Danio rerio: one gene and its partners. The main gene of each other region encodes a partner of the protein of the gene in region 4 in a complex. Links are inferred from orthologs where the notes say so. Each region holds a gene or a part of one and is shown on either strand. Other genes may lie near its edges.

Region 1 (4,230 bases), on a different chromosome or scaffold from region 4:
TTGAACTGTGTACTTGAAAGCTACATTGTTAGCTAGTTAGCCTGTCCTCATATAACTTCTTACATTACTTTTGTTTAAGTATTTATTGGATATTGCATACTGCCATAATGTACAGATGCTAACAGTTGCATGTATCTTTCTGGCAACTAAGCCAAAATTAAATTCCTTCATCTCAGTAAGGTAACTTGTGCACATCGTCACAGGAAATCACAAAAACATGATACACATAGCCATCCACACACAAAAGCTCCACTGTCCGGTCCCAGGTTGTGAGTTTGTTGCTAAGTATTTTTCAGAGCAGTGTTTCCACCTATGAATTTATATTAGAAACAATAATAAAGTTTGTTGTCATGAGATAATTATAACAATAAAAGATTGGATCCTTTGGTTTTTCGGTGTTGCAAACTTTATTTGTTATAATCACTTTAAACTTTTTATTGAGATTTAACACAGTTTTTAATTATTTAAAACTTTAAACTTTAAAATAATTATGTTGTGTTTTTTGCTGTTCATTTGCTGATCTACCTTCCTGCAGATTTTAGTTGCTATTCATTTCAAACACACCTAAACCAATTAATTAGGACCTGAACACCACATGATAATTACAGGCAGGTGTGTTTGATATGGGTAGCAACTGAAATCTGCAGGAAGGTAGATATCCAGGAACAGGATTGAGCACCACTGCTGTATACCATGGGGGTCAAACTCCAAGTTCCTGGAGAACTGCATCGCAGCAGAGTTTAGTACCCACCCTGCTTCAACATTACCTGTAGATTTCTAACAAGCCTTAATTAGTTTGATCAGGTGTGTTTAATTAGAGTTACAGCTTAAAGTCCCGGTCACACTGCACTTTTCTCCCTATAGACTTCCATTCATACGCATGTGAGTACTGCAGACCTGGAATGATAGCTCATGCGACAAATTTCATAATTCGCAGCATTGGAAAGTTCAAGCTTGGAGAACGCTGACATGCGAAATCACATCATGTGATTGCTTGATACCAATCAAAGATCAAAACATGACCTCTCTGGCTTGCTTTTTCAATCTCTAATTATTTTGTTTAATTCCACTACTCGCTTTGTTTAATTCCACTTCGCAGTGCCGTATGACAGAATTTTGCTTGCTCAAATGTTAGTGTGACTGCAGCCTTACTGTGCAGACCTGTAATATGCAAGACAATATTTATATCTGCTGATTTCTTAATTTTGTTATACTTTTTCTGTTATTTATTTGTTTCGTGCCAAAACAATAAAATATATTTGTCTGAAAAATTTTATGCCTTCTATTTTTAAATAACAGCTAAGAATACTGATTAATTTTAGTAACACTACAATAACTATATATGACAAACTATTAATGTGTATGCAGTATAATGCTGTGATTTGTAACACTACAATACAGTAATTAACTGTACACAGTTTCCAGTTAGTTACCACTGCTGCTCTATTACAGTAATTAACTGGCAACACTGTTGCCAGCTACTCCCTGTATCGGTTCAGTTACAGTAAATAACTGGCAACACTGTTGCCAGCCACTCACTGTAATGGTTCAGTTGCAGTAATTAACTGGCAACACTGTTGCCAGTTACTTACTGTAACCAAACTTTTACAGTGAGTGGCTGGCAACAGTGTTGCCAGTGTTCTACTGTAAAAAACCCCGGTAAGGTCTAACAGTGTATCAGATCGTTGCAGGTGCATATTAATACCTAAAAAGTACAAATGTGTTCCTTATAGTACCATAAAGATACAAAAGTGAACCATAAAGACACATCGTTTTGGTCAAGCTTTTAATTAACAGTATTAGTGTTTCTGTACTTGGATTTTTAACTTGTTTTTAATATGTTTTGATTTATTGTCATGTGTTATTTTACCTTATTTCTGGTTTTCTCTTATTGTAAAGAACTTTGTGACAATGTCTGTAAAAAGTGCTATATAAATAAAACTTTATTTACTTACTGTACGGTGCAAACGCGTAGTTTTGAGTACGTATACCACCACAGTGACAGATTTTGCACCTTTATTTCTGACCGTGTAATAAAACTGCTTTGTTCCTCTTTTTAAAGGTTGTTAAAAGTGTCTGATAATAATAGTTTGTCGGTAAATGATTAACATTATATAATTTTACAGATTAGCAAAACATTAAATAAAACTATTTATTGTATAGTCGACTAAATATACATGCTTATATTTTAATAAGGAATGCAATCTTTATAGGGATAGCTCATCCAAAATAAATTTATTTGCTCTATTTGCTCTCCTTCAAATGGTTCCAAACAACTGAGTTTCTTCTGCTGAACACAAAAGAAGATACTTTGAAGAATGCTGAAATCCTGTAACCTTTGACTTCCATTGTAGGAAAAAACAAAAAAAAAACTAAGATGCCATGTTTACACGTTTCTTCAGAATATCTACTTAGAAAGAAGAAAGAAACTCAGAAATATTTGGAACAAACAGAGGATGGCAGAATTTTCCCACCAACTTTCCCACCAAGAATGTTACCATAACTAGGGAATTATCCACGTGCTTTCTTTTAGAGTTTATTATGCGTTTTTAAATTGGTCTATAAAATAATAATAAGCCTATAGTTGAAATAAATGAGTAAACTGAACCGCTGATAACAGGAAACTCATGGAAAATAAACTGCAATGCAGCGGACTATTGTGCAGTGAATCACGTATTAATGTGCTTACCTTGCGTCTGCGTCGTGTTCAGAAGAAATAAAGTGACCAAAACGATCAAGAAAGCTTTCCCCATGATTGAGAAACACATTCAGTTCGGTCTCAACTCTTTCTGGTCCGTGTGTTGAACGCAAATGAAGCCCTCGAGTTTCCCCCTCTCTCTGTGTGTGTCGTCAGAATAGCGGTGTCGTTCCATACCGATGACATCTTCTTGTTTTTCCTCTCATGTCCAATGGAACACCGTCAAACTATGACATCATAATTGCTTTGATTATTTTTGTGTTTCTGATAGTTTAAAAGCCAAAGTTACAAATAAGTTTATAGACGACACGGTGGCTGGTTGGCACTGTGGTTGGCACTTTCACCTCACAGCAAGAAGGTTGCTGGGTCGAGTCCCGGCTGGCGTTTCTTTGAGGAGTTTGCATCATGTTCTTTCTGTGTTGGCGTGGGTTTCCTCTGGGTGCTCTGGTTTACCCCACAGACCAACCACATATAGGTGAATTGAATAAGCTAAATTGTCTTGTAGTGTATGTGTGTGTGATTGCCAGATGGATGTTTCCCAGTACTGAGTTGCAGTTGAAAGGGCATCTGCAGCATAATATGATGGAAGAGTTGGTGGTTCATTCCGCTGTGGCGACCCCTGATAAATAAAGGGACTAAGCTGGAGGAAAATGAATGAAAACTTTTTTTATAGTTCATGGTTCATAGTTGATAGTCTACTAAACTATTCTTGTTTTGTTTGTTTATATTATTTGTTTGTTAAGAATTCAGTTCATTTTATTTATGTATTCTATATTGCAGCTACTACACTAGTCGATTTATGTATTATTTTTTAAATCATCAATGTATTTAATTTGCATTCTAATTGAGAGTAGAATTGCAGTATTAATTAACTGCTATGACATTAGTTACATAATAATGCTACTTTTCTAACCTAACGAGTAAAGAAACATGTTGTTCCAAAAAAAGAAGCAATAATTTTTGAGTAGATTTTGTATTATTATTTTTTAAGTAATGTGAACTAATCTTTAATTTAACGAATTAGCTTTAAAAATAAAATTGCTGAGTTTAAATTAACCAAGTCAAAAAAATGAAATTCATTACTAAATTATTACCTAAATTTTGATGTGTTTTTAATGGTAAATGAAGGTGTGTGTGTGTGTGTATATATATATATATATATATATATATATATATATATATATATATATATATATATATATATATATATATAGCATAGATGCCATCATGAAGAAAGAACATTATGTAGAAATACTGAAGCAACATCTCAAGACATCAGCCATGAAATTAAAACCTGGCCACAAATGGGTCTTCCAAACAGACCATCACAGCATACTGCCAAATTTGTTAAAATGTGCTTTAAGGACAACAAAGTTAATGTTTTGGAGTGGCCATCACAAAGCCCTGAGCTCAATCCTATAGAAAATTTGTGGGCAGAGTTGAAAAAGCTTGTGTGAGCAAGACAGCTAACAAATCTGACTCAGTTACACCAATTCTGTCAGAAATGGCCCCAAATTCCTTCAAACTATTGT
Region 2 (4,142 bases), on a different chromosome or scaffold from region 4:
AGTATCTGACAAAAAGATAGTAAAGAAAATTAAGGTTTACAGGTACTGAAAAATAACAAATTTGGTAAACGATAAAATGATTTTGTGGGGTGGCACGGTGGCTCAGTGGTAAGCACTAGTGAGTCCCTGTTAGACCAGCTAGGATTTCTGTGTGGAGTTTGCATGTTTGCATGGGTTTCCTCTGGGTGCTCCAGTTTCCCCAACAGTCCAAACATTTGTGGTATAGCTCAATTGGACAAACTAAATTGGCTATAGTGTGTATAAATTAATGTATGGGTGTTTCCCAGCACTAGGGATTCATGGGTTAGTGTACTCTTGCTGCTGGGTTGCGGCTGGAAAGGCGTCCGCCACATAAAATATATGCCAGAGTAATTGGCAGTTCATTCTACTGTGGCAAGCCCTGATAAAACAGGGACTAAGCCGAAGGATAGTGAGTGAGAAACAAAATTCCAAGTAATTTTCAGAAAAATGGCATGTTGTCCAACTAACCCCATTTTATTTATGAGTAAATAAAAATTAAATAATAAAAATAAATAAAGGTGAAGCGGTGTCACAGTAAGTGCTGTCGCCTCACAGCAAGAAGGTCGCTGGTTCAAGACTCGGCTAAGTCAGTTGGTGTTTCTGTGTGGAGTTTGCATGTTTTCTCTGCATTCGCGTTGGTTTCCTCCAGTTGCTCTGGTTTCCCCCACAGTGCAAAGTCATGTGGTACAGGTGAATTGAGTAAGCTAAATTGTCCGTAGTGTATGAGTGTGAATAAGTGTGTATGGATGTTTCCCAGAGATGGGTTGCATATGCTGGGTAAGGATGCGGTTCATTCCGCTGTGGCGGCACCAGATTAATAAAGGGACTAAGCCAAAAAAAATTTATGAAAAGAATGAAAATAAATAAAGTGAAAAATAAAAATAAATTAATAAAGATACCTGCTGATAATAAATAAGCACAAAGATACACAAACACATAGAGGCAGCACCTTCAACCTTGAGGTGGATGGGCTACAGCAGCAGACAACAACGGGTGCCACTCCTGTCAGCTAAGAACAGGAAACTGAGGCTACAATTCACACAGGTTCACTAAATTGGACAATAGAATATTGGAAATATGTTGCCTGATCTGATGAGTTTCGATTTCTGCTGCAACATTTAGATGGTAAACTCAGGATTTGGCATCAACCACATGAAAACATGGATCCATCCTGCCTTATATCAACGATTCAGGCTGCTGATGGTGGTGTAATGGTGTGACCACAGTGTACCCATCTTCTGATGGTTACTTCCAGCAGTATAACGCGTTGTCATAAAGCGCAAATCATCTCAGTCTGGTTTCTTGAACATGACAAGGAGTTCAAATGGACTCTACAGTCACTAGATCTCATTCCAATAGAGCACCTTTGGGATGTGGTGGAACAGGAGATTCGCATCATGAATGTGCAACTGACAAATCTGCATGATGTTATCATGTCAATATGGAACAAAATCTCTGAGCAATATTTCCAGTATATTTCCATATTTGCAGTACCTTGTTTCCAGTACCTTATTTTCAGAACCTTGTTGAACCTATGCCATGAAGGAATAAGGCAAAAGGGGGTCCAACGTGGGACTAGTAATGTGTACCTAATAAAGTGGCCGGTAAGTGTATACTGTATATATGTGGTGACTTCTGATAAATCAGGGACTGAGCCAAAGGAAAATGAATCAAGGAATGTGTTTGCGCATATGTGTGCAAATATACACATACATATTCATTTGTATAAATATTTGTTTAAGGCTTTAGACAAATGCAATTACCTCTGCCTGATGCTTACACCATATGGCAATTTTTATGACATTCAGGGCTTAAATAATATCATAATTAATGATAAATTGTGCTACCTGGTGATTGTTTTTGTGCTTGTGCTTCTGAATCTTTCAGGTAGACCACTTTGTCTTGAGCTCCTCTGGTGAGGTTGGCGATCTCTTCCAAATCCTGTTCCATATCATCCAGCTTTTTGTCCATATCAGGCTTGTACCTCTGCAAGTAATCAGCGACTCCACATGTTGTTGGACAGTATGTTCCCTGAAAAAGAGAGGAACCAAGTGTCAATCTTACTATCAAAATAAAATCGTACAAAAATCAGCGTCCCTTCAACTCATTTTGTTGATTATAACGTTATATCAATGCATCTACATTTCTAATTCTCATATGATTAGTACAGTAATGGGAGACTGGTAAATACTTATTTTAATTGGTTGACCTGTGCTTGCAAACTAATTATATCGTTACTTATAGTCAGTAGAATGTCTATAGGGAGATCATCACAATAGAAAGTCATAACAGAAATTGAAAAAACAGTAGAAACAGAAGAAAAAAAGTCAAACATATTTGGACCAAGTAGAGGGAGAGCAAAATGTGACATAATTTGTTATTTTTGGGTGAACTATCCCTTTAGGCAGACAGTCTACTAATACTTTAATGGCATTAATAAGTAAGGACATTATTTTGATGGTCCATTTGAATATCCTTTTGATATTAATTAAAGTGTTACAGAGTTTATTAGTTAAAAAAATCCAAAACATAAAGAATTTGTACTTACAAACCCATCATTAGGGTTGCACAAATCATGTGATGGTGAGTAGTCTCCTCTTTGCTTAAAATAAATAAGGGAGAAAAGAAAATGAGTAACAAAGACATTATAATGTTTTATAATAAAATATAATAACTGTCACTCACCGCTGATGTTAATGTGCACAGCAGCACAATGGAAGCAACCACATGCATGATCGAGCCCATGTCGGACCTGTCTGTGTGGTATACCCTTGAGATTGTGAGTTTCTGTTGACTGTTGCAGGATATTTATCCGATCAAGGTCCTCTTTGGAGATGGAGATAACGGTTCACTCTTCAAACAAGAGCTAAAACCACCCCTCTATTACTCACTGTGTGACTCCAAACTAACCGTAAATGATGCATATATACGTTGGTCAACGTGTCCATCATGTTAGTACATAGTGCTAGTGGATCAGGACATTTAAGACATTTAAAATGATTTATTTATTTACAGGTTTGATTTTTTTTTCCATCAAAAACAAAGTTTGGAGATTGTAGAGTAAAGTTGCATTAGAAACCTTTTTTAACAGTTTAACTAATAATTGTGAAAACAAGAATATGTTCTCATAAAATAACATTCATTTTGCTTTCTTTGAAACATACTATTTTATTAACTGTTTTTCACAAAATTTACTTTGAGACTAACTAATCATTGGTTTCCCACTACTGTATCCCTTGATTTTAAAGGATTTAAATCACTGCATGTCAGTATTTGTAAATGTACTTATGCATTGGCCTAAAACACATAAACAATCAAACAAACTGATTATTTGCCTTGACGCAGCAATGAGCCATTGCTACAGAACTTGTGGGTCACTATCCAGTCAGTTTTAAGTTAATGATTTGTCAATTTTTCTTTTCTAGTGTTGGAAGATTAAATGTTCCACAAATACTTTAACAACATGTACCCACACACAGACAAACATACACTTTTGCTGACATACTGACTCACCAGTAAGAACAAAAATGCATTTTTTTTTCAAATGTACTGGTAATGACCAAAGCAAAGTATCAATAGTTAGTAAATAAATAAATAAATAAATAAATAAATAAATAAATAAATAAATAAATAAATAAATAAATTTCCTTCTTTTTCATGGTAATAAGCAAAGCAAATAATATAAAGCTATTAGAGAAAAAAAGAAGCAAAATAAATTAGATTAACATTAAATTTAATTTCAAGATCAAACACGTTAAACATTAAATAGCTAGTTTCTTTCTTTTGTTGGACACAAAGGAATATACACCAAAGAATGTTGGGAAAAATCAGCAAGAAGCAATAAATACATAAATTTAGAATCACTTGAGTGGGAATAAATGAGGAGGAAAAGTAGAATTAAGAGTTCTAAAGTTCTAGAGGTTTTAATAAAGTGCTGTTCGACTTTGTTTGAGTTTTTAAAGACTGAATACTATGACTTTTTAGTCACTTTAAATATTAATATGGTTGCTCAATTGTTTTTAAGGCTACAAACATCAGTACCAAAGCTGATCTGGACTATGAACATGTCTTAACCGAATGAACCACTAGGGGATGTTGCATATCAAAAATCTTGTGCAGCT
Region 3 (3,714 bases), on a different chromosome or scaffold from region 4:
TTTGATACCGCATGCCGATTGAAAAGGAAAAATCTCTGCATTTCGCGTTGCAGGTGTCAGTGGTCCTTCACTGACTCAGTAGGTGCAGTGTCAAACAGTCTGGAATATCCTGTGGCAAAACGCTGTGAAAAGTCCAACATGATGGTAATAGTTTGATTGCGGTGTTTACATGTCTGTGCTGCACTTCAATAATGCCACTAAAATCGGCATACTTCACATGTCTCAATTCGAGTTCTGTTTAGTTTGATTATGACCTTAATCAGATTAATCAAAAATCTGTTTACATGGTTGACTCTTAATCAGAGTATTGTCTTTATCGTATTAAAATCGGATTATTGTTGTCCATGTAAACATACTCACTGTTTACCTTATTATGTAAGTTTAATGGTCAAAGGATTGATCGCATATGCCTATTGATAGCACGTTTGCAAGGAACTGTTTTACTCCCATGTGAAAGTATTTTGTAGTAGGAAGAATTTCAAAATACAGTATTTTATTTTGATATTTGTTGTAGCTGCTGTATTTTGTAGTTTATTTTGATACATGGGAAATTAAGCTATTTGGTATTTTAATTTAAAATACATTTCAATGTATTTTTGTCCATACACTCACTTTCTTCCGATAATACAATTTGCAAGCATGCAAACTCCATACTGAACAAACGCTTTGGCTTTGAGAGATGAGTGAATTTGATTTGCCTCAGATTTGCATTCAGGGAATTAACAGATGAATGAAAGTCTACACTGTTAAACAATAATAATAAACAAAACAAATCATTGGTGCTCCTAAAGGGCAAATACTAGAAACTCTGTTTCACCAAACATAGTTACTTCATAAGAATAACTTTATGACACCTTTGGGTTTTCTGTTTTTTACAAACAATATCTTAAATAAACATGTTTGTACCCTGTTAAATAGTACTAGTAGTATAACTTCTATTACCCAAACAAAAATTTTATAAATGCTAAAAAGCAAAAAGGCTAATAAATGTGTTAAAATAATAACAATAATAGTAATAGTAGTAAAATATTTCTAAGGTGCAAATAAAAATAAACTTATCATTGTGGAATTCAAATAAAATCTAGTAAGAAAAAAATATTAGACACTTTTTATATTGATTAAAACACAGTATACAGTGAAAAACCCCACCATTAAAACTATAAATGTTCTTCTGATATCAAGCATGAACTAGTCCCTGCTGTGTTGCTGGGTTTCACATGTGTGTTGCTCGAGTAGGCGTCAACATTTGCGCCACAGAAAAACAGAATTCTCCACCTCTAGTAGTTCTTGGTGTCTGCTGTTGAGCGCGGGTTCAAGATCATTCTGGAAAGGAGTTTTCTGTTCTCACCCTCTCTTCATCAATTTGCGCTGCGGTGTTTGAGTCGTGATGTTGCGGGTTCTGTTGGTGACGGGTCTGCTGGCTCTGAACGGCTCTGCGTCTGCGCTGCCGAACAACGGTAAGACGCTTACAGACTTTCTTTTATCAGAATAAAATATGTGAGCTCAGTTCATTAAAATAGGCCTGTAGAACACAGTGGCATGTAGCATACACGATGAATCGCATAAAACGTAATGCAATAATAACGAAATCCCTTAAAGTTTAACTTGAAAAGTGAAGTAGCCTATTTTGGTATGAAATATTGGTATTAGATATAGGCTACGTTTAAAAAGATAAATGAATAGCAATGCTTGTACTACTATATTAACAATATAATAATTACATATATAAAAACAATATAATAAAAACAAAATAATAATTGTTTTAATGAATAGCTAAAACGCTGCTAATTGTAAATTCTAAACATGGAAATAAATAGGCTATGGAATTCAGCAAATTAATTTTTTTTTTCTCTGCAACAGGAATTCTAGCTAACATGACAAAGAGATATAATAAAACATGAACAGAAAGAAAATAGCCTAACAAAAAAGTATAAAATTATTTGATGCATGAATTAAGTTAAAATAACTTTTAATGTTACAATGATTAAATGCTGCAAAAAATGAATGTAAACACGTTTTTTCTTTTTTTTTTTCAGAAACATTTATTCGCTCATTTTCGGGATTTTTCCTCACCGTCACTGATGAGCCGTTTGATTATCTGGACGTGCAGGAGGGGGGAAGCGGCTTTAGTTCGGGTCAAGAACCAACACTCAGGAAAGAGCACCTCCACCCCCCGGCTAAAAAGACTTATCACATCTCTCAAGAGGCCTCGAGCTTCCTCACAGGCCGCGTGGCGACCGCTGTCATCCCGACTATATACATAATAGTGTTCATCATCAGCGCGCCTCTCAACCTGCTGGCGCTGGTCATGTTCGCGCGCAAAGTCAGACCCAAGAAACCGGCGGCGATTTACATGATGAATCTAGCCTGCGCAGACCTTCTGTTTGTTCTGCTGCTTCCTTTTAGGATAGCCTACAACTACAACGGAAACAACTGGATATACGGAGCCGGGATGTGCCGTGTTGTCACTGCTGCTTTTTACTGCAACATGTACTGTTCTGTGCTGCTGATTATGTGCATTAGTGTGGATCGCTTTCTGGCTGTCGTCTACCCGATGGACTCGCTCACTTGGCGAAGTCCCCAAACCGCGACTGTCACCTGCGCCGCCATGTGGCTTCTGTCTGTTGGCGGAGTGACACCTTTGCTCATTTCCAATCAGACCATTCACCTACCTGACCTGGGCATAACCACCTGCCACGACGTCCTTGACATCCAGCTTCTCCGCGAGTATTACCTGTACTTCTTTCCAATCTTCTGTTCGCTTTTCTTCTTCATCCCGCTCATTTTTAGCACCGTCTGCTACCTGCGCATCATCCAAGCCTTGTGCGCGGCAAACGTGGAAAACCGCGCGAAGAAAACGCGGGCTGTTATTATGGCCGTAACAGTTTTTGCAGTTTTTGTCATATGCTTTACACCAACAAACATCATCTTACTGTCACATTATGTGAGGTTTGCTTACAAGCACAATGACGCGTCCTATGCCGCTTACCTGGTCTCCATGTGTATGGGGAGCATCAGCTGCTGTCTGGACCCCCTCATCTATTATTTTGGTTCTTCTCAGTGCCAAAAACAAGTTCTTGCTTTTCTCAGATGTCAGGGGGTCCCTGGTATTGAAAGGAGCGCACAGTTCACCTCCAGCACAAGGTCAAGTAATCTGGAGACTTTGAAAAGCAGTGTGAACAGCCAGTACATAAAGCTGATGGCATGAACAGTCTAAACCTTGACTATATGGCTGGTTGGATATGTCTGGATTTTTGGAAGGGTCTTGAAAACTTTTAAGCTGGCCAGGATGAGAGACCTTGTCAAGCCATGATGCAACAGATTTCCAAGAACATTCTGTCTGTAACAGGGTTTTTCTTTCATTTTATTTAGGATAACTCGATGGGTGGAGTTGCCTGCACTTATTCAAAGGAATCTTATATAGAGGGTTGCATGATAACATCAGAACCTGCAAGAACAATTCAACACGACTTTTCTTTTGATTTTACCAATTAACTGAGAGTAAAACAAAATTTCTGGCAAACACAACTTTACAATCTTTTATGTTTTGTTGTACAAACAGTCTCATGGGAATGGGGTACAGTACATGCACACAGACTTTTCATTTCAGTCAGCCACCCCTAGAGCTTCTGGTTAATTGTCATCCCAAACAAAATTGCAGTGTTTACGTTATCTGATTTCTTAAAAAAAAAAATAACAGCGATCTTAACTGCC
Region 4 (3,201 bases):
TGCTCTTGGTGGGCAGACAGACAGGGTGGATCTCACTCGTAAAAACGACAGGCTTCTTCATGTGGAGAAGAGCAATGTCTCGGTTTAGGTTTTCTTTCCAGTTGTATTTAGGGTGGACAATGATTTCATCAATGGCCACAATCTTCTCGATGCCTCTCTCATACCTGATTAAGAGAGAAACAGGAAAATGTTCAGCAGCTCATTCTGTTAACTGAGGGTTATTGTTTACTTTTATTTCAGCTTTTAGAACAAGCAAAAGAAATCCATGAAGGAATTTTTGGAGGGCTCACTTAGTACGAGAGTGTTTTCCAAGGCGGACGATGATGTCATTGATTGTGAAGTTCTTGTTCCACGGCGGGTAGAGAATGCAGTGGGCAGCGGTGAGAATCCATTCATCACTGATCAGACTGGCTCCACACAGCAGCTCCTGAGGGCTACGCTTATACAGCATCACCTGCCTGCAAATCACATCAAACAACCATTGCAAAGAGGCTTTTTATCACTTTCCAGAACATTTACAGTTACTGTTCCTCACTGAAGGAACTCTCTCCAATCACATACAGATTTCTGAAACACAAGCAATGTTAAAAACCTATAATAGCTTGTATTTCTCTATCAAAATGAGAAGCTTTGTATTTGAAGCACTGTGAGTATTGTTTCTTTACAATGAATCACTTGATGTCTCCTCTTTGTAAGTCACTTTTTATAAAATCACCTGCTTAATGTCTAAAGCAGGCATGCTTAACCCTGTTCCTGGGAATCTACCTTCCTGCAGAGTTTAGCTCTAACCCTGATCAAACACACCTGAACTAATTAAGTAGGATCTGAACTTGTTAATTAAAGACAGGTGTGTTTGATCAAGGTTGCAGCTGAACTCTGCAGGAAGGTAGATCTCCAGCAACAGTGTCAAGCACCCCTGGTCTAAAGGTAAGGTAAACATGTGGCATTAGCTGTTGTCATGACTGATGTTGCCAAGAAATCTGAACATTTAAAAAGAGGCCCTGTCATGTTTTTACCATGGAGCGCTAGCCACTTCAGCCTCGTCTCCTCCCACAATTCTGCTTCCAGTATAGGACATCAGAAGCTCCTTCTCATTCTTGTCTGCTTTGTTGATCTTCTCAAACAAGGGGCGCTCTCCACAGTCTGTAGAACAACGCGGGAGCATCATATTAATTATTAGTGGATCGTACAAGAGCTCAGACCTTTAGTGAATGTATTAGATTCTAACCTAGCTCTCCGTTTCCAAAGCTGCGGGGGTTAAAGAAAGCTTTCCTTTGGTCTAGAGTTGTTCTTTCTCGTCCACCACCTTCCTCCACAAACTTGTCCAAAGGAGCATCTGAGAGTGAATGACAAAGGCAGGATTATGTATGCTGTGTGTGCTGTGTGATTTATGAAGTTTTGTTTAAGGATTTGTAAATTTTTTACCATAATATTTTATTCACCCTTATTTCATTTCAAACTGATGATCACTCTGAACATAATATATATATTAATAAAATCTTAGAAATGTTTGCCCTGCTTCATTCACCCCAAACTTTGATACTTAAAAACATTTATAAAGAGATTAAAAAACAAATCCACATGAGTTTAATGCAAGGTTTGGTTAGAAAATCTTTACATTATATATTAACAGAAACTCAACCATACCAGATTGGTTCTTGTGGGACAGAAATCTCTTAGATGTATGGCATAACATTTTAACATTTGGTCTTAGTCTAATCATACTATTTATTTTCACATCACTAGTAGTTTTACTAGCACTTCAGCTACTATGATGATCTTTTCTATTATTTAATAACAATTATTAATAGGCTACTAATGTTTATTTTTTTATTTTTAGGTACCTTGTTCTTATGGTTATTAATTGCAACTTCTTATTATAAGATACTGGCATTTATTCACCGGGTACTACCAATTAAACAGATACTAGTGATTCATTTGACACTAATATCAATTCATTGCATTTTATTACTTCAGTTTCAATAGTGACAACTAGATATTTGCTGGTGAATTTTTTATAGGCTATTTATGAGTTATTATTTAATACAGTTGTGACTAGTACATATTTGTTATATACACTCACCGGCCACTTTACAACTGTCCAACTGCTCATTAATGCAAATTTCTAATCAGCCAATCACATGGCAGCAACTCAATGCATTATGGCATGGAGACATGGTCAAGACGATCTGCTGCAGTTAAAACCGAGCATCAAAATGACTTTGAACATGGCATGGTTGTTGTTGCCAAACGGGCTGATCTGAGTATTTCAGAAACTGCTGATCTACTGGGATTTTCATGCACAACCATCTCTAGGGTTTACAGAGAAAGGTAAAAAAAAATATCCAGTGAGCGACAGTTCTGTGGGCGCAAATGCCTTGTTGAAGCCAGAGGTCAGAGGAGAATGGCCAGAAGAGCTGACAGAAAGACAACAGTAACTCAAATAACTACTTGTTACAACCGAGGTAAGCATAAGAGCATCTCTGAATGCACAACACATCTAACCTTGAGCCAGATGGGATACAACAGCAGAACACTACACCGAGTGCCACTCCTGTCAGCTAAGAACAGGAAACTGAGGCTACAATTAGCACAAGCTAACCAAAATTGGACAATAGAAGATTGGAAAAAATGTTGCCTGGTCTGATTAGCCTCGATTTCTGCTGCAACATTCGGATGGTAGGGTCAGAATTTGGTATCAACAATATGAAAGCATGGATCCATCCTGCCTTGTATCAATGGGTTAGGCTGGTGGTGGTGGTGGAGGTGTAATGATGTGGGGAATAAATTCTTCTCATGCTCTGGGCCCATTAGTACCAATGGAGCAAAGCCACAGCCTACCAGGGTATTGTTGCTGACCATGTCCATCCCTTTATGACCACTGTGTGGCCATCTTCTAATGGCTACTTCCAGCAGGATGACACGGCATGTCATAAAACGTGAATCATCTCCGACTGGTTTCTTGAACATGACAATGATTTCAAGATAAAAAAGATACTAGCTTCTAAAATAGATATAGAAAATAAATACTAGTATGTTGTAAAGATTAAATGTAAAGTCTGCTTGCCCTATCAGATATGATTAAAAAATATTCAACTTCTAAAAAAAAAAATTAAATTCCTTCCTTTAGTGTTCTAAAGAAAGGAATTGAGAAATGATAATGGTATTTTAAGGGAATCTTCATTCTGGGGTGAACTAACT
Region 5 (4,061 bases), on a different chromosome or scaffold from region 4:
ATATATATATATATATATATATATATATATATATATATGTGTGTGTGTGTGTGTGTGTGTGTGTGTGTGTGTGTGTGTGTGTATATAGTGATCACGATTTTGAAAGTATAAGACATCACTTTGTAAACATTTATTATTACTATTTGTAGAGTTTTCACTTTCAGTATGTCACTGTTTATTTGTCTGTTACATAAGGTTACATATTTCTTCAAATATTTAAAACTCTTTATAAAAGATCAATAACAGAACAGAAATCTTGAAATAACTATGTTAAAATCCTAATAACCTAAATTATTAGGATTACCTAAATTATCTACATTTGCTAAATGCCAGGATAATGAGAGAACTTTTTTTTTGGGAATTTTTATTAATTTCTAGACAGTCAAAAGTTTACACACATTTCCTTGGTATTTTTTAGCTTTGCTTTGAAACTGTATAACTTTGGTCAAATGTTTTGGGTATCCTTCCACAAGTTTCTCACTATAGTTTGGAGGAATTTTGACTCATTTCTCCTGACAGAATTGGTGTAACTGAGTCAGATTTGTAGATTTATTTGTCTGTTACATAAGGTTACATATTTCTTCAAATATTTAAAACTCTTTATAAAAGATCAATAACAGGACAGAAATCTTGAAATAACTATGTTAAAATCCTAATAACAGTATAAGCTTATGTCGGACAATACAGTACAATAAAAGTGATTTTAAAACAACTTTCTACTTTATCAACCACATAAAACGCTGTACTGAACTTTTACTTTTATGAGTAAAATAAGATGCAAATTTGTTCTTTTAAAGACACCACACCAATAATAAGCTGTATAAGTATTAAAATAACAATTTGGCATAGTCAACATTTGATGTGAATTAAAATTTTAATCAAAGTTTTCATAAAACCAAAAATGTGCTTCTTTCAAAATTCATGCAAAAAATGTCAGTCTGTTACTAGTCAATTAAAAAACACTTTGTACACTCAGGGTTGTATTTTTTTTTCATAACATCCCTTGCTATCGAAACAAATTTACGAACAATTAAACCTAAATATTATTACAACAGAGAGAGAGAAAAAAAAACTTTACAGTATTGTACACATTGCAGACAATATCAATTGTAAAAATAATTCAAATGAATTAATATCCACATCATAATAAGAAATGTCATTGTTAATTGGTTTTTTGTCAACACCAGACATAATCATTTATCATTAGGTAACAACTGACCTGTCACATGTGTCTGTAATGGGGAAGAGATCATTATTCAAGGTTCTGAAAGCTTTGCTTAAGGTCAGAACGCGAATATAATGCCAAATTTAGTTAGACTACAGGATTCTGACCTTAACAGAACCATTGGGAAGCTGCAAACTCGTATTCATGAAATGTGACAAGCAATTTTACATCTTGTGACAAACAATCTTGTCTGTGTGCGATCAAAAGTGATGAAGTATGAAATTCTGTAGATAACAATGTTGATTAAAAACAGAACTACATATTGGGCATGAATTTTGAACAATACTGTATATCGTCTTAGGACAACTTTGATTATCCTTCTTGATTTACTACATATGTTGACTACTGTGTATATATACAGTTGAAGTCAGAATTATTAGCCCCCTGTAGATTTTTCTCCAATTTCTGTTTAACGGAAAGAATATTTATTTTCATCAAATTTATAAACATAATAGTTTTAATAACTAGTTTCTAAAAACTGATTTGTTTTATCTTTGCTGTGATGACCATGTACATAATATTTTACTAGATAATTGTCAAGACACTAGTATTCAGCTTAAAGTGCAATTTAAAGGCTTAACTAGGTTAATCTGGGTAATTAGGCAAGTCATTGTACAATGATGATTTGTTCTGTTGACAATAGGAAAACAATATTGCTTAAAGGGGCTAATAATTTTGTCCATAAAATATTTTTTTTTTAAATTAAAAAATGCTTTTATTCTAGTCGAAATAAACAAATAAGACTCTCCTGAAATAAAATAAATAAATAAATTGAAGGGGGGGGGGGGGGGATTACATATATATATGTGTGTGTGTGTGTGTGTGTGTGTGTGTGTGTGTGTGTGTGTGTGTGTGTGTGTGTGTGTGTGTGTATGTATGTATATGTATATTATTATTATTATTTTATTTATTTTATTTTTTGTCAAATATCTAACTCTTAACCTCATCTCTGTAGCAAACAGGAAGAGATAGGATCAGTGAGGAAATGAGATATCTATTATTATTAAAATTTTTTTAGATATATTTCTTATTCAACCACAATGCAGGATCACTCAAACAAAACTAATTTAAAGCAATTATTCTGGAAAATTAAAGTCAGATTTGAAATAACATTTGGGTGACTAAATGGTGTCACTTTTTGTCACTGTTTTTCACTTCTGTGCTTTGCTTAGCAGTGGTAAGATAGAATCAATATGTGTTACAATGAATGTCATGTCCTGTCTGTGCATGTTACAACTCTGCCACCCCCACCTTTCTTTCCAAATTTGCTATACTTACTCATATAACCTTTGTTTTACAACGTTATCGTGACAAGTAGACTATCAAAGATTTTTACCACAAAGTTAAGATAAGACTTACTTGGAACGATGATCGAGATGTTTGCATCTACAGCTGAAGAGACGTGAAGAAAGATGAAGAGGAGATACAGAAAAGGCACTCGAGAACTGACAACAAATTCCATACTGGTCGTTTAAGTATTGTTGAAATGATTTAAAGCACTTCCCTAGCGACGTGAAATGAAAAGATTTTCTGAGTGTAAAAGTAGCTGTTCACTCCACTCTATTTACCTCTAATATACTTTTTCTGTCGGGTATGCATTCTAGTCACGCCTCCTTTTGGGTTTATACCAATCAACGAGTTGTCTTTTGGCTTTTCCTCTATAAGTACGAGGACATAAAACAGATGTGAGCATCTGCTACAATGTTTGCATTTTTCCTTCTCTCATTCATATGGAGACAGATTGTCCAATGGTACAATAAACGGTCAACATTATTAATACGTTTGTGGACTAGAGATGAGTAATTGATGTTTAATTGATTTAATTAATAATTAGCCTGTATTTCTGTATTAAGGAATTTATTAAACAATGAAACGCAGTAGAACACTCAAATGTTCAGCTCAAAACCACCTCTGTAGCAAACAGGAGGAGATAGGATCAGGGGAGGAAACGAAAGATCTATGGAAAAATGTGGATGCTTGTCAAAAGAAGTACTACTTTTTCCAACAAGCACATTTGTCTAGTTCCCTTTTTAAAAAGAGAAGGGAAAAATAATGACATTTTGTTCTATCAAAATATTCATTTAAATGTTTTGTTTTTCACTTAATGATAGCAATAATTAAAAAATGTTTTCATAACATTACAAAATACTACGTTACATAGTTGTCAAAACTTGTATTTCACGTAATAATCAACTGATATGCTAGCCTATAAATGATTTGAACTATTTATATATTTAAATTTTACAATTCTACAATTAAACCTATATTTTTGTTTTTAAATGAAGGCTTCCATCTTAATTGATAAAGAAAACATTTGTAGGTTACATATTCTTTAAATGCTGTATTTATGTGATTGTCGTCGTGATTTTATTGAAAAGTGGCTAGCTTTTGTAAATATTAAAGTTTTCAATACTTGATGCCATTCGTGGGAAAAAAAACTAAAACATAATGTAGCTGTAGATGATGAGCACTAGATGGTGACATTGTTGCACACCTGCAACATGAACGTCTTCATTGTTGAGATATTATGCTATATTTAAAATCTGTAAAAATAAATAAATAAATAAAATAAATGTAAAAGCACACCATCTAGCCTATAGTTTATTTTAGTTTAATATACTGTAGTTTAATTGCGCTCCGTAGAGATCTTGAGGAATTATTCAATTTTTTTCTTTTTTTTCTTTTTGGAAACAATAGCCTTGTTTACAGTTAAACACAGTTTCAGTTTTCTTTTGTGTCGTGTTCGAGCACGTCGTGTTTATTACATCTGGACTGCATGTCACAGCAGACCTGCATTCTTTCACAGGTTGCAGGCCCGTAGCTAGCCTGGTAAAAG

The links.
Region 1: the proteins of f2 (region 4) and proteinase-activated receptor 3 are in contact, whole or in part, in a crystal structure (PDB 2PUX), measured with the Mus musculus proteins. The link is inferred for Danio rerio from reciprocal best matches to the Homo sapiens genes F2 and F2RL2. Residues at the interface, in NP_034298.1 of Mus musculus: Phe379, Gln384, Glu385, Leu386, Leu420, Arg422, Arg428, Thr429, Arg430, Tyr431, Arg433, Lys437, Ile438, Ser439, Met440, Lys467, Pro470; in NP_034300.3 of Mus musculus: Thr46, Phe47, Glu48, Glu49, Phe50, Pro51, Asp54, Ile55, Glu56.
Region 2: the proteins of f2 (region 4) and fgg are in contact, whole or in part, in a crystal structure (PDB 2HWL), measured with the Homo sapiens proteins. The link is inferred for Danio rerio from reciprocal best matches to the Homo sapiens genes F2 and FGG. Residues at the interface, in NP_000497.1 of Homo sapiens: His450, Pro451, Arg452, Arg461, Arg486, Ala489, Ala490, Leu493, Ile530, Val531, Glu532, Arg533, Cys536, Asp546, Asn547, Met548, Phe549, Cys550, His605, Phe607, Arg608, Leu609, Lys610, Lys611, Trp612, Lys615; in NP_068656.2 of Homo sapiens: Pro439, Ala440, Glu441, Thr442, Glu443, Tyr444, Asp445, Ser446, Leu447, Tyr448.
Region 3: the proteins of f2 (region 4) and f2r are in contact, whole or in part, in a crystal structure (PDB 3LU9), measured with the Homo sapiens proteins. The link is inferred for Danio rerio from reciprocal best matches to the Homo sapiens genes F2 and F2R. Residues at the interface, in NP_000497.1 of Homo sapiens: Phe382, Arg383, Pro386, Gln387, Glu388, Leu389, Leu390, Cys391, His406, Cys407, Tyr410, Trp413, Lys415, Leu423, Arg425, Arg431, Thr432, Arg433, Tyr434, Ile441, Met443, Glu457, Asn458, Leu459, Asn506, Thr510, Lys517, Gly518, Gln519, Arg541; in NP_001983.2 of Homo sapiens: Ala33, Thr34, Asn35, Thr37, Leu38, Asp39, Pro40, Arg41, Ser42, Phe43, Leu44, Leu45, Arg46, Asn47, Pro48, Asp50, Lys51, Tyr52, Glu53, Pro54, Phe55, Trp56.
Region 5: the proteins of f2 (region 4) and si:ch211-132p1.2 are in contact, whole or in part, in a crystal structure (PDB 2PV9), measured with the Mus musculus proteins. The link is inferred for Danio rerio from reciprocal best matches to the Homo sapiens genes F2 and F2RL3. Residues at the interface, in NP_034298.1 of Mus musculus: Glu385, Leu386, Leu387, Cys388, His403, Tyr407, Trp410, Asp411, Arg428, Arg453, Glu454, Asn455, Leu456, Trp501, Gly502, Asn503, Trp508, Thr510, Gln516, Arg538, Ile539, Asp559, Ala560, Cys561, Glu562, Gly563, Asp564, Val585, Ser586, Trp587; in NP_032001.2 of Mus musculus: Asp54, Lys55, Pro56, Asn57, Pro58, Arg59, Gly60, Tyr61, Pro62, Gly63, Lys64, Cys66, Asn68, Asp69, Ser70.

The regions. Positions count from the first base shown.
Region 1 is NC_133196.1:7,110,708-7,114,937, forward strand, and holds the start of proteinase-activated receptor 3, read right to left. Parts: upstream 2,814-4,230; 5' UTR 2,769-2,813; coding exon 2,690-2,768; intron 1-2,689. UniProt on the Homo sapiens protein: Receptor for activated thrombin coupled to G proteins that stimulate phosphoinositide hydrolysis.
Region 2 is NC_133176.1:27,275,077-27,279,218, forward strand, and holds the start of fgg (fibrinogen gamma chain precursor), read right to left. Parts: upstream 2,803-4,142; 5' UTR 2,767-2,802; coding exon 2,707-2,766; intron 2,624-2,706; coding exon 2,570-2,623; intron 2,053-2,569; coding exon 1,869-2,052; intron 6-1,868; coding exon 1-5. UniProt on the Homo sapiens protein: Together with fibrinogen alpha (FGA) and fibrinogen beta (FGB), polymerizes to form an insoluble fibrin matrix. Has a major function in hemostasis as one of the primary components of blood clots.
Region 3 is NC_133180.1:47,155,566-47,159,279, forward strand, and holds f2r (proteinase-activated receptor 1 precursor), read left to right. Parts: upstream 1-1,387; coding exon 1,388-1,457; intron 1,458-2,036; coding exon 2,037-3,208; downstream 3,209-3,714. UniProt on the Homo sapiens protein: High affinity receptor that binds the activated thrombin, leading to calcium release from intracellular stores.
Region 4 is NC_133182.1:38,969,742-38,972,942, reverse strand, and holds part of f2 (prothrombin), read right to left. Parts: intron 1,337-3,201; coding exon 1,229-1,336; intron 1,144-1,228; coding exon 1,017-1,143; intron 459-1,016; coding exon 291-458; intron 165-290; coding exon 1-164. UniProt on the Homo sapiens protein: Thrombin, which cleaves bonds after Arg and Lys, converts fibrinogen to fibrin and activates factors V, VII, VIII, XIII, and, in complex with thrombomodulin, protein C. Functions in blood homeostasis, inflammation and wound healing.
Region 5 is NC_133189.1:41,481,904-41,485,964, reverse strand, and holds the start of si:ch211-132p1.2 (proteinase-activated receptor 4), read right to left. Parts: upstream 2,806-4,061; 5' UTR 2,688-2,805; coding exon 2,585-2,687; intron 1-2,584. UniProt on the Homo sapiens protein: Receptor for activated thrombin or trypsin coupled to G proteins that stimulate phosphoinositide hydrolysis. May play a role in platelets activation.